Linked DNA regions of Callithrix jacchus. The protein of the gene in region 1 interacts with the protein of each later gene in a pairwise test. Links are inferred from orthologs where the notes say so. Each region holds a gene or a part of one and is shown on either strand. Other genes may lie near its edges.

Evidence for each region.
Region 2: the proteins of CEP44 (region 1) and H2AP interact in binary tests that used the Homo sapiens proteins (3 or more experiments, as listed by UniProt). The two-hybrid records come from large-scale screens. The link is inferred for Callithrix jacchus from reciprocal best matches to the Homo sapiens genes CEP44 and H2AP.
Region 3: the proteins of CEP44 (region 1) and TXLNA interact in binary tests that used the Homo sapiens proteins (3 or more experiments, as listed by UniProt). The two-hybrid records come from large-scale screens. The link is inferred for Callithrix jacchus from reciprocal best matches to the Homo sapiens genes CEP44 and TXLNA.

Annotation. Positions count from the first base shown.
Region 1 is NC_133504.1:16,816,986-16,822,051, forward strand, and holds part of CEP44 (centrosomal protein of 44 kDa), read right to left. Parts: intron 2,196-5,066; coding exon 2,025-2,195; intron 1,078-2,024; coding exon 871-1,077; intron 145-870; coding exon 78-144; intron 1-77. UniProt on the Homo sapiens protein: Centriole-enriched microtubule-binding protein involved in centriole biogenesis. In collaboration with CEP295 and POC1B, is required for the centriole-to-centrosome conversion by ensuring the formation of bona fide centriole wall.
Region 2 is NC_133524.1:38,777,330-38,781,391, forward strand, and holds H2AP (huntingtin-interacting protein M), read left to right. Parts: upstream 1-2,071; 5' UTR 2,072-2,132; coding exon 2,133-2,486; 3' UTR 2,487-2,607; downstream 2,608-4,062.
Region 3 is NC_133508.1:68,784,639-68,790,169, reverse strand, and holds the start of TXLNA (alpha-taxilin), read right to left. Parts: upstream 3,756-5,531; 5' UTR 3,689-3,755; intron 3,154-3,688; 5' UTR 3,122-3,153; coding exon 2,953-3,121; intron 1,881-2,952; coding exon 1,554-1,880; intron 3-1,553; coding exon 1-2. UniProt on the Homo sapiens protein: May be involved in intracellular vesicle traffic and potentially in calcium-dependent exocytosis in neuroendocrine cells.

The DNA.
Region 1 (5,066 bases):
TAAAATTACCAAATACCTATAATAATTATTTTTCTGAAAACTCATTATAGAAATTCTAATAGTATTTACAAACTTACGAGGATTCAGAAGATTCATGTTGCTACAAGAAGTGTAGTCTTCGCTAATTTCATTAAACTCATCACTCTGAAATAACAGTTAAATATTTAGAATGAAGCCAAAGGAAAACCCCTCATTTTATATTCTTAATACCAAGCATAAAATATAAAGATAGCATAATAAATGTTTAAATATTTTTAATTTCTGTATTTATAAAGCAATACATATACTGTATGTTCCACATATAAGAAATGTTTTAAATATAAAAGCAGACAGCAAGCTTCTTGAATCTATCAACTTTACTTTCTAAGAAGGAAAGACAGACCAGAAATTGAAATCCTGAGAAAAAGAAACAAATTCCTCAGATTTGATAAGGCAATGGTAAATTTCGTAACTTGTCTATGAAATTCACAATATGATTGAAGTAAATGAGAGAAAAAAAGAAAAAAGTTATCAATATCTTCTGTATCTTTTCTACTCTATGAAAATAGGTCATCTGTACTATTAAAAGATATAAAATAATATTAGGCTTTTCATAAAATCTATCATATTCTTCCCTTATTTTAAGTTCTTCAAGTATTATTATTATCTGTAAAAGTTCAACTTACAAGTTTTTCAGATTACCTTATTCAATGAAGAGAGAAATAGCCACAATAACATACAGGCTATATTTAAACAGGAATTCATTCTAACTAGGCATTTACTCATCACTGAAATATTCTCATACTTAGCATTCCCCCAATAACGTACATATAACAAAGAAATACTTTGTTATACCTGAGATATTTTATACATGTTAAAGGAAGAAAATACCTTTTTAGACAAAAGCATTTCTGTTTCAAGAAGAGTAACACGACTAAGGAGATTCGTCCATGTCTTTTCATCCACCATCACTTTTCCTTTCATTTTTTGTTCCAAACAGTCTAACCTTTTCTCTATCAAAGTTAGTTTCTTAAGATTTTCTTGGCATTCAGCAAGCATAGTCTGTAGTGCAGTAATCTCAGGATTAACACTTATATCCTAAAAAGGTTAGAGAGATTAAAAATAAAATTATACAAACTGAATTTCCTTTAAAATTAATGTATTCCCACTTCCACTGTGTTATCTCAATAGTTAGGAGAGACAGTCCTGTGCTTGAGAGTCAAGAGGGTTAGCTCTGGATGGAGACTACTTGGCCACTTAAACTAGTTCTGAAAATTTATGACCTTGATGCCTCCATTTCCTCATCTTAAAAAAAAAGAAACAGAGAGGTAAGAGCAGTATCTACTTCATATGATTCTTGTGATGAATTAATTTGCATAATTCTCTTAATACCAGGTAATAAAACTATTATTAACTAGCTTCTTGAAACAACACCTAGCACAAAGCTAAGAAGAAATGACCAAAAACAACACTTAGTGAATTGAGATTGTTCAGTTTTCCATATAACAGGAAGTAGGTCCAATGGCCATCTGGCAGTTTCTGTAAGTGACAACTATATATTGATATACTGAGATCTATAGAAGTCACAAGACATCGAAGCATAGAAAAAGAAGTTTTAGCAGGAACATTAGAGATCAGACATATATTGAGGTCTGTGGCAATCAAGAGTAATAGAAATGGCACCTTAAGAGAGGCAGAAAAGAATAGCCAGGACCCAGAAAGGAAAACGAATAGGCAATAAAGTGCCAATCTTTTCCATTCACCAGTAAAGAAAATAGGTGGTAAAGAAAATGTCTCACTAAATTGTAGATTCCTTAAAGCCAAGTACCATATATTATTCTACTTTGCATTACTCCAACACTTAGCCCAGCACCCTAAACATATCCAGCAAATAATTATTTTTAGTAAGACTTACTAAGTAATTGTAACATAGGTAAAATATCATGATTAATAATTCAAAAGGCTAGAAATATTCCAAAGTTTAGAGGCTAGAAATATTTAAGTAAGAAATATTCGTATCTATTTAAAAAGTCCGAAATTGTTACCTGTCGCTCAGCCTCGATTTCAGGAACCTTTATTTCAGGCATCTTTATTTCGGCAGCATTTAAGTCAGACGCAGTAACTGCTTCATTAACCTCTGTTACTGCACTTAACGTATCCTCCGGAATGTTAACATTATCTTCAATATACAAGTGACGAATCACCACAGCTTTTTTCTGCATAGGCAAAAATATGCAGGAAATACTTCAATGTTTTCCTCCCACAATTTTTATTTTTTTAAACTTTTAAGTTCAGGGGTACATGTGCAAGTTTGTTTCACAAGTAAATTTGTGTCAAGAGGGTTTGTTATGCAGATTATTTCATCACCCAGGTATTAAGCTTAGTACTCATTAGTTATTTTTCCTGAACTCCCTCCTACCCTCCACCCTCTGAAAGGCCCCAATATGTGTTGTTTCCCTCCATATGTCCATGGGTTCTCATTATTTCGCTCCCACTTATAAGTGAGAACAAGCAGTATTTGGTTTTCTGTTTCTGCATTAGTTTGCTAAGGATAAGAACCTCTAGTTCCATCCATGTCCCTGCGAAGGACATGATCTCATTAATTTTTATGGCTATAGAGTATTCCACAGTGTGTATGTACCACATCTTCTTTATCTGCTCTATCATTGATGGGCATTTAGGTTGATTCGATGTCTCTGCTATTGCATTTATGTTTGCTATTTTGAATAGTGCTGCAATGAACATATGCATACATGTGTCTTTACAACAGAACAATTTATATTCTCTTGAGTATATACCAAGTAATCAGACTGATGGGTCAAATGGTATTTCTGTCTTTAGGTCTTTGAGGACTTGCCATATTATCTTCCACAGTAGTTGAACTAACTTACACTCCCACCAACAGCGTATAACTTTTCCTTTTTCTCCACAACCTCACAAGCATCTGTTGTTGTTTTTTTGACTTTTTAATCATAGTCATTGTGAGAAGCATGAGATAGTATCTCATTGCGGTTGTGATTTGCATTTTTCTAATGATCAGTGATGTTGGGCTTTTTTCCATATGATTATTGGCTACATGTATGCCTTCTTTTGAGAAGTATATGTTCATATCCTTTTTCCACTTTTTAATGAGGTTGTTTTTTTCTTATAAATTTGCTTAAATTCTTTATAGATGCTGGACATTAGGCCTTTGTCAGATATAAGTTTGCAAAAATTTTCTCCCACTTTGGAGGGTGTCTGTTTACTTGGCTGACAGTTTCTTTTGCTGTGTAGAAGCTTTTTAGTTTAATTAAATCCCATTTGCTAACTTTTGCTTTTGTTGGAATTGCCTTTGGCATCTTCATCAAGAAATCATTGCCTATGCCTATGTCCTGAGTGGTATTGCCTAGGTTGTCTTCCAGAGTTTTTATAGTTTTGGGTTTTATACTTATATCTTTAATCCATCTTGAGTCGATTTTTGTATATGGTGTAAGGAAAGGGTCTAGTTTCAATCTTCTGTATATGACTAGCCAGTTATCCCAGCACCATTTATTAAATAGGGAAACCTTTCCCCATTGTTTGTTTTCATCGGATTTGTTGAAGATCAGATAGTTGCAGGTGTGCGGTCTTATTTCTGGGTTCTCTATTCTCTTCCATTGGTCTATGAGTCTGTTTTTGTACTATGCTGTTTTGGTTACTGTAGCCCTGTAGTATAGTTTGAAGTTGGGTAGCATGATGCCTCTAGCTTTGTTCTTTCTCCCTAGGATTGTCTTGGCTATTCGGGCTCTTTTTGGTTTCATATAAATTTTACAATAGTTTTCTTTAGTTCTGTGAAGAATGTCAACGATAGTTTAATGGTAATAGGAGTGAATCTATAAATTGCTTTGGGCAGTATGGTCATTTTAGCAATACCGATTCTTCCTACCCATGAGCATAAAATGTTTTTCCATGTGTTTGTTTCATCGCTGATTTCTTTGAGCAATGTTTGATAGTTCCTGTAGAGATCTTCCACCTCCCTTGTTAGCTATATTTCTAGGTATTTTATTCTTTTTGTGGCAATTGTGAATGGGAGTTTGTGATTAGTTTTCGACTTGACTATTGTTGGTGTATAAAAATGTTAGCAATTTTTACACATTAATTTTGTATTCTGAGATTTTACTGAAGTTCCTTATCAGCTTAAGAAGCTTTTGGGCTGAGAAGATCCTCCCACGATTATTTTAAACATACTCACAGTAACTTTGCAGAAGTAACACCAATCTTTAATGATTTTTAAAAGTTTAAATTGTCATATATAATGTATATATCCAAACATTACAATTACTACTCCAAATTATGTGATGATAAAATTAGAGTTATGACTTAACACAATTCTTACCTTTTAGAAAAAACACTTAAATATTTATTAAATTATGTCTGAGATTTGTTTTTTTTTTTTTTTTTTTTTTTTTGAGATGGAGTTTTGCTCTTGTTACCCAGGCTGGAGTGCCATGGCGCGATCTCAGCTCACCGCAACCTCCGCCTCCTGGGTTCAGGCAATTCTTCTGCCTCAGCCTCCTAAGTAGCTGGGATTACAGGCATGCGCCACCATGCCCAGCTAATTTTTTGTATTTTTAGTAGAGATGGGGTTTCACCATGTTGACCAGGATGGTCTCGATCTCTTGACCTCGTGATCCACCCGCCTCAGCCTCCCAAAGTGCTGGAATTACAGGCTTGAGCCACCACGCCCAGCCTGTCTGAGATTTGTTTTAAACTGTTCCAGTTTTTTGTGTGTGGTGGCAGGTGGGGTGTTGGAAAATAAAGACAAAACAAGATTAGCAAAGAGTTGAGAAATTGTTGAAAGTGGATGATGGGTACGTTTGTAAATGTTTGAAATGTTCCATAACAAAAAGTTATTTTTAAAAAAGGTTGCTGCATAATTCACTTATAAATAATCAAGAACTGGCTCTATGAGTAGGACTCATTACAATTTTTCTATGAAACAAACTGCAATTTATTAGACCTTCAGCTAGCAATTCAAACCTAATAACAACAAAGAAAAAGTCCTGACAAAAAAGCATTAGGTCACGCTAGGCATTTATATAGAATTCTTCTACCTACTTGCTATTCCA
Region 2 (4,062 bases), on another chromosome or scaffold:
CAAGTTTATGGCAATTCATTATAGCAGCCATCGGGATCTATTACAATTTTGGTCCCTGGAAGTGGGTTGCTGCTATAACAAATATCTAAAAAGTTTGAAGGGGCTTTGCAATGGGAAAATATCTATGGACTGAATAAATTTCAGGAGCATTATAGAACAACTCTAGATTACGTTGAGCAGACCATTAGTAGAAATAGGAATATTCAAAGCACTCCTAGTGAGAGCTCAGATATGAGGAGCACAGTAGAGAATGCCTATGTTATCCTAGAGAACACCTAAATGATCGTAAACAAGCTATTGATAGAAATATAAATGTTAAAGGTGTTGCTGGTGAAGGCTTAGAAAGAAATTAGTAACATAATATTGGAAAAGGGAGTTTGTGTTATACAGCAGCAGAAATCTTAGCTGAATTATGCCCTATAATTATGTGGAAAGCATGACTTGTAAGCAATGAACTTGAATATTTAGCTGAGCAGATTTTCATGCAAAGGACTAAAGTAATGGCCTGGTTGTTGTTGTTGTTGTTGTTGTTGTTGTTGTTGTTGTTTTTTACTGCTGCTTATAGTAAAATGCTAGAGGAAAGACATAAAGTGAGGGAAGAACTGTTAAGCAAAAAGAAACCAGGATTTAATGATATAAGAAATTTTCAGCCTATCCAGATTGCAAAAGACACCAAAATTAGTGAATTCACTGCCATGAAATCATCCTACAGAAATAAAATCAAAGGCATGGCTAGCCATTCTTTTGTTAGTGCCTTTAAGGGATGAAAAGACCAAAGTATTCAATCACACAGATGATGTTTTGAAGAGATATGGGGTGTGCTTCTCAAATATGCAAGGAATAGAGACGGAATTTTCTGAGAGATCTGTGAAGAAGACTCTGTCTAATGGCATGAATCCTCATGACATACATAAAACACATGTAAGTTTTTGAGAATGTTATATCAGCAGAAACAATGCCAGCTTAGACTGAAAGAAAGAAATAGAGCAAGAAATGAAAGAAGGCTATAGGACTCCCAAAATTTGACAGGAGAAAGCAGGCTGATAAAACTACTCGGCTGTAAACACATGCTACCATTCAAAATAAAGGAAAAATGACTGAGGGCAGAACCAAGAGACCAGAGGGAAGATTTATTCCCCCAGGTGAAGTTACAGGATCAGAGTGATCAGAGGGAGGGGTCTCAAGCTGTAGACTATTCCCAGGCCTTGAAACCTAATGGTTAGATTTTGAAATTGTTTGGATTTGAGACTATTTTCTTTCCACTATTTCCCTTGTGAAATGGCAAAGTTATTGGCTGTAAATGAACAAAACTCAAAGGGAAAACACAGAATTAGCAGAGAGTAAAATTAAATAATAGAAAAGAAACAACTCTTAGTGCTTTGGCTTCACCTAGGAGAGACAAGAAATACACATCTGGGCTTAAACTGAGCACAAGATGCACTTCTCCATCAACTATGTTTACCTGGCACTGACAGGTATTGAGCATCTTATTATTAATTGCAAAATGATTAAAAAATATTTTTCAAATAGAGTAAAATCATGACACTCATACAGATATGAAATGAACATATACTAAAAGAAAAGGTTATTATAACAGGTTCAAAAGGGAAACCAAAGAATTGATATGGGAATATTCATCAGGAATATTAAATGATTGTGTGTAAATGGAGGTAAAATTGGTTTCATTAGGTGAAGGACAACTGAACCTCTACTGAAGAATATATCATCCATGTATCTGTGGCCTACAAGTAACAAAAACCTATGCAAGATTTCAGAGATAATGTAAGGCTAGAATCAGATAATTTGCAATGATGTCCTAAAGATAGAGCAAAGTTTTCCACTGAAACACACATTTATTTTTACAATGTCAAAATCAGATAAAAAGTTATAGTTCTCTCAAAATCAGGATTCAGTCATTAGGGTGACTAGGTCAGTGTCACAGACATTTCTAGGCTGAGGTCTGCTCAGGGAAATTCCAAAGTCTAGGATGTCACAAAGGCAGCTAGCTCCCTGACCAATCAGGGCCTGGAGCAGAGAGATACAATGGGCAGGACTAAGTGCCAGTGTCCTTGGAGACCTGCTCAAGCAGGAGAATCAAGCATAGCTCAGCAGAGCCAGACCAAGCAAACATAATGTCAGAAACAGAAAACTGTAAGAACTCCCCTACAAATAACAATCAGAATCAAGAACCTTCAAGAAATGAGCCACAGGTCCCTAGGACCTTCGTTGACCGCCTTCTTCAGGATGAACGAGATGCCCAAAGCCAGACTTCCTCCATGATAAATAGCCTCCTTACCTTGCTCGATTGCCTTGGTGACTTCATCATGGAGCAGGTAGGCCTGGAGGCCAGCCACAATGACAGTATGAACAACACTTCACAAGATGCGGAGAGAGAAGTGGACAACAACCGTGAGCCCCACTGCCTCGAGAGCGATATAACCTGCTTTCTGTTGGATGGGATGCCCAAATCCGAGAAGAATGGCTGAAGACCGAGTTCCAAAGCCTGGAAGGGATCCTCTCAGGCTTAACCAGGGCAAAAACATATCATAGCTGAGGAATCCCTGCTGTTGTCATCAACAAGTGCTATTAAAGGATGTAAATCCGTGAGTATGTTTCTGACTCCACTTAGTTTCCGTCACTTTGGGTTGGAGGTGTTTGTGAGACATCTAGGAGAAGCTATTCCTAGAGAGCTGAAGGGGTGTAGGGGTGGCCAGTGTGGGGAGTTTTGAATTAATGATTTTAGAGGGGGCAGTCTCCAATAGTGACTATGAGGTCACTGGCCTTTTGGGGAGGAACTGGCTGGGGTAGACACAGAGACTTCCTCATTGCCTTGGAACAGGAAGGCCTTGTGAGGCCAGGGGGTTGGCTGGGGACCTCTGAGGCTTGTTGAATTCCCAGCCTGATGCTGGGGCCTGGGGTGGAGCTGCAATCTCTGACTGAGGTGCTGGAGGCTTCATTCAGGATAGCAAAGGTCTGAAGTCAGATGGCGGCGGTCACAGAGGTGGATGGAGAGGGGGCACACTGGCTGGCATGAACTTAATGGGACAGGGGCTTTACATAGACATTGAGGAGTGAAGGAAAAACCATCACGAAAAATGCATAAAAGAAATGATGGCCTGCTGGATTGCATTTCTTATTTCTTTATACCCTCCCTCATTATGAAAGAGGACTTCAGGCAGGGATTCGTAGCTACTGCTGTGAATATATCTTTCTGTCCTCTCTTCAGGACACTGGTAAACTAAATCGTAAGATTACATAGAACCTATGATCTGGCATAAAATGGGCAATTCAAGAAGATTTTAACGGGTGTTAATTATTGATTAATCTGCTTAGTTATAAATGTATTTCATTTAAAGCAGGATTAACAATCTCATTTTTAAATTAAATACCTATTCATTGTAATGACCATATATTGCATAGAACACCAAAGAATTATCAGTGACCGAATAGAGGTTTAAAGAGGTATAGATATAATTCTGTCCCAAGCAATGGCCTCTAAAGCACAGGCAATCCTTCTCAAAACTTCCTGCTCTGTGCTAAGTTTAAAAAAGGTGTCACATCAGGTGTTGAAGCCATATGTCCCCTTGCCCATGGTTGTCCACATGTTAGGTTTTCACCTGGTCCTTGGGTCCTCTGGGGCCACAGTCTGCTGCCTGCTGGTGTTTCACAGATGGTTGGTCAGGGGCTGCCCAGCCGGTTTCAAAAACGGGAGCTGAGTGCCTGGTTTCAGATCCCAGTTCGCCACTTTTTGGCCATGTGATGATACTGGACCTTCATTTCCTCCCTCTGAGCTGATCTCTTCATGTGTAAATGGGGTAATAAGAGTTCCTCCATATGTGTCTTTTTCTGGGATTGAGCCCAGTTGGGGCTGTAAACTGCTGCTCTACACAGTGCATGCACAGGGTCGCCCTTCATAAACAGCTGCATCTGCCTCCTTCCCTAACAGCAGACTCACAGGTGGGCTTCCCCAAGGTGCAGTGGGCCTGGTTCTCAGGTGACCGCTGGGCACATAGGTCACTGGCTGTGAGAACGACATCCTGCTTAGCCCTGTAGGGAGACAGG
Region 3 (5,531 bases), on another chromosome or scaffold:
CCCTGCAAAGCACAGGAGAAAAGACATGCACCCTCTTCTCCAGGGGTCCCCTCCAGGCCTGGGCTCACACTCATGAGTGCTAAAGATAGCCCTATATTTTGCTTGTTGATTAGCTACCTTCCTTGCTATAGGGACCAACTCAATCCTTTCCTCACTGTAGCCCCAGTACTGTCATAGTACCATCACAGAGCATATGTTCAACAAATGCTCATCAAATGAATGACTGGACCCTAGTGAAATCTCCTTATTGGGCACCATGGTGGGAGGAAAAAAACTGCCTGCTTTACCAACAGATGAAGTGTGTCCCACTTATGATTTCAGGGCTACTGTTTCAATGCAAGGAAGGCCCACCCTCTTGATAGAGGTAGGATCCAAAAAGGAGTAAGTATCTTAGCCTCCTTGAGAAACACTAAACTCTTATCAACAGAGTAGACAAACCTCGAATTTTAAAATGAAGATACTTTCCATATATGTGATCCTAAGATTTTTTTTTTTTTTTGAGATGGAGTCTCACCCTGTTACCTAGGCTGGAGTTCAATGGCAGGATCTCGGCTCACTGCAACCTCTGCCTCCCGGGTTCAAGCCATTATCCTGCCTCAGCCTCCCAAGTAGCTGGGATTACAGGCGTGCATTACCATGCCCAGCTACTTTTTGTATTTTTAGTAGAGATGGGGTTTCATCATGTTGGCCAGGCTGGTCTTGAACTCCTGACCCTCAGGTGATCCACCCATCTTGGCCTTCTAAAGTGCTGCTATTACAGGCGTGAGCCACCATGCCTGACCTAAATTCTTAAAACATATATACCTTACCATCAAATGACTGTCACTGCCTATTTCCCACTCTGTGTGCCTGAGTCAGGGAGCCTTCCCTCTGCCTCCCCAGAAGGGCCCAAGAGATCAGCACAGAGACTGCAATTCACTGGCATGCATGCCAAATCCAACCCACGGATGGGTTTTGTTTGGCTCCTACCATTTTAGCTGCTAACTATGAAAAAATCTAGAGATCTAGATTTCTGGCTTTTCTTAAAAAAAAAAAAAAAAAAAAAAAAAAAGGCTGGCTGCTGCCTAGTTAAGAGCAACTAACTAAATAGCAATAAAGCCTTTGGCTAAAGTAGGCTCTATCTTCATGGAGCCCCATAGGCAGCCCAGCTTATGTAGACATTTGGGTTTCCAACTCTGGGCTAGTCTGATTTTCTTACTGTAAACAGAAGTAGAAACTAGGACCCAGAGAGGAGAAGGGGCACACCCAAGGTCACAAGGCAGGTAGTACTGGCTGGCACAGGAGGCTACCCGGACCTCCTGCTCTCCATTGTCTCAAAGAGCAGGTCACACATCAACCTCCCGTTGCTCCAAAAGCCAGAAGACCTTGTGCTGGAAACCCCTGCATCTTTCTATGTGTGACTCCCACATCCCTGGCTTTGATTAGACTAGGGTGACTTGCTGCTCTGAGAAGTACCATTTCCTCTGAATCCTGGCAGAACAGACTTGCCCAGAGAACATCAAGTCCAAATTCCCTCCCCTCACCAGCTGCACAAAGAGCCACTCTCTGCTCACCCAAACCCTTGGCTTTTTTCTTCTCCTGTGGCCTTCGGTGGTCTCGGTCTCCCACATCATCACTCGGCCGGATCTCTTCTGTGCCTGGCTCCCCCTTGGAGGGTACCTTTTCTCCATTGACTACTGGAGATGGCTCAGGCTCCCCATTCCTTGCCACATAGGTCCGGGACTTCTCTGCATCTTCCGGCTCACCCTGTGCCCCATCCTCGCCTGGGCCCCCCTGGTTATTGTCCACACAGTATGTGCTCAGTATGTCTTCCAATTGGCGGCTCAGCTCCTCAGAGACATCACGGAGGGCCCCAGATTGAGCTGTTTTGGCTTGTGCCCCTAAAGCAGGAAAGAATGAGAAAGAAGACAGCAAATCTAGTTCCTGTCAGAATTTAGATTCAAAACTTTTTTTTTTTTTTTCCAGATGGAGTCTCACTCTGTCACCCAGGCTGGAGTGCAATGATGCAATCTCAGTTCACTGCAACCTCTGCCTCCCAGGTTCAAGCGATTCTCCTGACTCAGTCTCCCGAGTAGCTGAGATTATAGGCATGCACTACCACACCTAGCTAATTGTTGTATTTTTAGTAGAGACAGGGTTTCTCCAACATGGAGGTCAGGCTGGTCTCAAACTCCTGACCTCAGGTGATTCACCTGCCTTGGCCTCCCAAAGTGCTGGGATTACAGGCGTGAGCCACCATGTCCAGCCTCGAAACATCTTTTAAAAGAAATTATAGTCATCGTTGCTTAACTTTTTTTTTTTTTAAGATGAGGTTTCACCGTATAGGTCATGCTGGTCTTGAGCTCCTGACCTCAGGTGAACTGCCCGTCTCAGCCTCCCAAAGTGTTAGGATTACAGGTGTGAGCCACTGTGCCCGGCAACTTTTTTTTTTTTCTTGCCAGACTCAGGTAATGGATGCTCAACCTCTTTAAGTCTATTTACTTGTAAAATGACACAACTATTTCTTACTATCACCCGAACATGTTGGTTACAAACATAAAAGTATGTAAAGCATCAGCACACAGGGCTGGCATGAAGCAACTTCTAGTCCATCTCCTTCCCCCCTCACCAACCACTTCTTGCCATTCAGATTGTTCTAGAAATGCCTCAATCCAGGAAGGGCAGTTAGCTGTTGGTGGCTGAGGTGTTTCTAACAGGACCTGGATTTCCTGACTGGGTGCCTCGTTTGGCTGCCACCTGACTTAATCCTGTCAGAGCTTCTCTCCAGAGAAGAGAACTCTGTTCCTGTGCTCACCAACTCGCCAGGGCGCCGGAAGGACCGCGGCCCCAGCACTGCCCTCTCATTCTACATCTCCTCCTCTGCACAACCTGGCCTCGGCCTCTAAATCCAGAAGTGAGGCCAGGCGCACAGCTCCTCCCCCTGCCCGCTGGCAATGCAGAGCTGGCACACACCCTCCGGCTTCCGAGGAGCCTGCCCGCTGCCGGGACCTTCAGCTTCTGCCGCAGGAGCCGCCTGGCTGGGCCGCTCCTGGGTTCCCTCGGGTACCGCTTCCGGTTGTCCCGGGCTGCTTTTTGGGTTGGATTGTTTGGCAGCCCCGTTCTTTTTGTCTTGGTTCTTCATTGTGATGAGCGATGCTGGGTCAGAAGGAGATCCTTTAGAAACAAACACAGTTGCAATTTTTCAGACTTCGAAATTCTTCGCAGTCTGGATCAGAAATCCCCACAGCAGGCGCCCAAAGCTTCTTAAACGGACCGGCCGGCCCCGGCGGAGGGCGCCAACGGCTCTCCGGTCTTGGCGGGTCAGGGGAGCCCGGTGTGCCGTAGCAGGCTTTCGCAGCGCAACGGAAGAGGAAAGAGGCCTCTTTTTCTTCTCGGAGCCACTTCCCAGCACAACCAACCCCCTCACGGCAGGCCGAGAGCGGGATTGGCTCGGGGCCGGAGACTGACGTGGCGGGGCGCAGGAGTCGCGGCGCCGCCCCCGCCCCTCAGGACCCACGTGCGCCCCCCGCGCGCGCAGCCACCCACGCCCCGCGCGCCCTCCAGCCGCGAGGCACGCCCGCGCATGCGCACACGCCCTAGACAGCCCCCCGGCCCACGCGCGGAGTCGCCGTGATTTCCCCACAGGCCGAGAACATCCCGGCCCGTACACCCTCCGATTGTCTCTCCCACCGGTCGCCGCGGCACGCACCTCACAACCGACGTCCGACGGCTTCTCCAGCTCTGGCCTCCACCGGAAACCCCGAGTAACCACTGCCGGCGAGCAGCCTGCACCCGCCGCAGCCAATCAATAGCCGGCGCCGGCGCGGAGCTTGCTGGGAAGGACGAAGCGAGGGCGGCCTTGGAGGCGGGCGGGACCTGAGGGCGGGGCAGCGAAAGGACTACGCGTCCCTCTGTGCGCTGGGGCTGGCAGCAGCTCCCAAAGTGCAGACGGGGCAGTAGTTCTGGGAGTCCAAAAAGAGCCCGTCATTCCGCGCAAATGCCCAGGTCAACCTTGTTTCTATCTCGCAGAAGTTATGCCTCAGCTCCTAAAGCCTTGCGCCTAGCATTGTTTCCTGCAGGCCTCCGTCAAGCCTTCTTCCCTGGCCTTGAACAAATGTGACTCCATCCAGGAATTCCGACGAATCGGGAAGAGGGATAGAGTCCTGGGATGAGGCCCAGGAGACCCCTACTCCAGTCCCAGCTTCATCATGGATTTGCTGTGGCTCCCTGGGCCTTAATGTCCTTCTTCCCAAGGAGGTGTTTAATAACAATAATTTCCTTGAGCGCTTACTGTGTGCTTTCCGGTATCTAATAGCTTCATTCTCATAAGCACTCATTGAAGTAAGTACTGTTAGCGCCATTTTACGGAAAAGGACAGTAAAGAGAAAGGCTGGGTAACTTCTCCAAGGTTACATCGATAGTGAGTGGTTAAAACGGATTCAGAATTGTTAACTCTGACACCAGCACCCAGGTAACTTCTCGGCTTCCCTTTTTCTTTTTTTTTGAGACGGAGTTTCACTCTTGTTACCCAGGCTGGAGTGCAATGGCGCGATCTCGGTTCACCGCAACCTCCGCCTTCTAGGTTCAAGCAATTCTCCTGCCTCAGCCTCCCGAGTAGCTGGGACAACAGGCGCGCCCCACCATGCCCAGCTAATTTTTGTATTTTTAGTAGAGACGGGGTTTCACCATGTTGACCAGGATGGTCTCGATCTCTTGACCTCGTGATCCACCCGCCTTGACCTCCCAAAGTGCTGGGTTTATAGGCGTGAGCCACCACTCCCGGCCTACCTTGTCTTTTACCCAGAAGAAACACCACCACAGCAGGTTTTCCAGAGGCAGTCAAGGTAACTTGTGAACATAGGTCATATTTTCCCCTCTCCTTTACCATTTGGCAGTCAATTCCTCAGGAAGGTGCTGAGTTAAGGCTTCAGGCATATTCTAGAGCCTTTTCTCTGACTGCCCCACTGTCTACTAAAGTCTCACTGGGTTTAAAGTAGAAAAAAAACACAATTCTCTACACGTGAGATCAGAAATTCTGTATCCCCGTTGCCTCTGGATAATGAAATCAAACCCAACAATCTTTGTGCCTGGAATTTGAAGCATAAGAGGTTTGGCTTTTGTCAAACTTAAAATCTTTTGAGGCCCAGTTCAAAGGTCACTGCAGAGCCTTCCCAGTGCTCTGCAATCTGTACTTGCTCCCTAGGTCTGCAGAGTTCTGTTACAGCATTAGCAGTGAGGTGTTGAAATTAATATTTGCTTACAAGTCAGTGAATTTTGCAAGAACTGTTGGTGAAATATTCTAGTCCCAGAGCCTAGCATCAGGCTGTGGGTAGAGAAGATTGTAAATTGTTGTACTAATTGAGCATTGGTTTAGGGCTGTTAGGATATTAAATATTTCCCCCAAAGGCTCAGTGACAGACTTAAAAGCAGTGCATTTTGGATTTTCAGATTAGGGATGCTTAACCGGTAAAATCTGAGAAAATCCCAAATTCGAAACACTTCTGGTCCGACGTATGTTGGATAAGGGATATTCAACTTTAGTATAATGATGG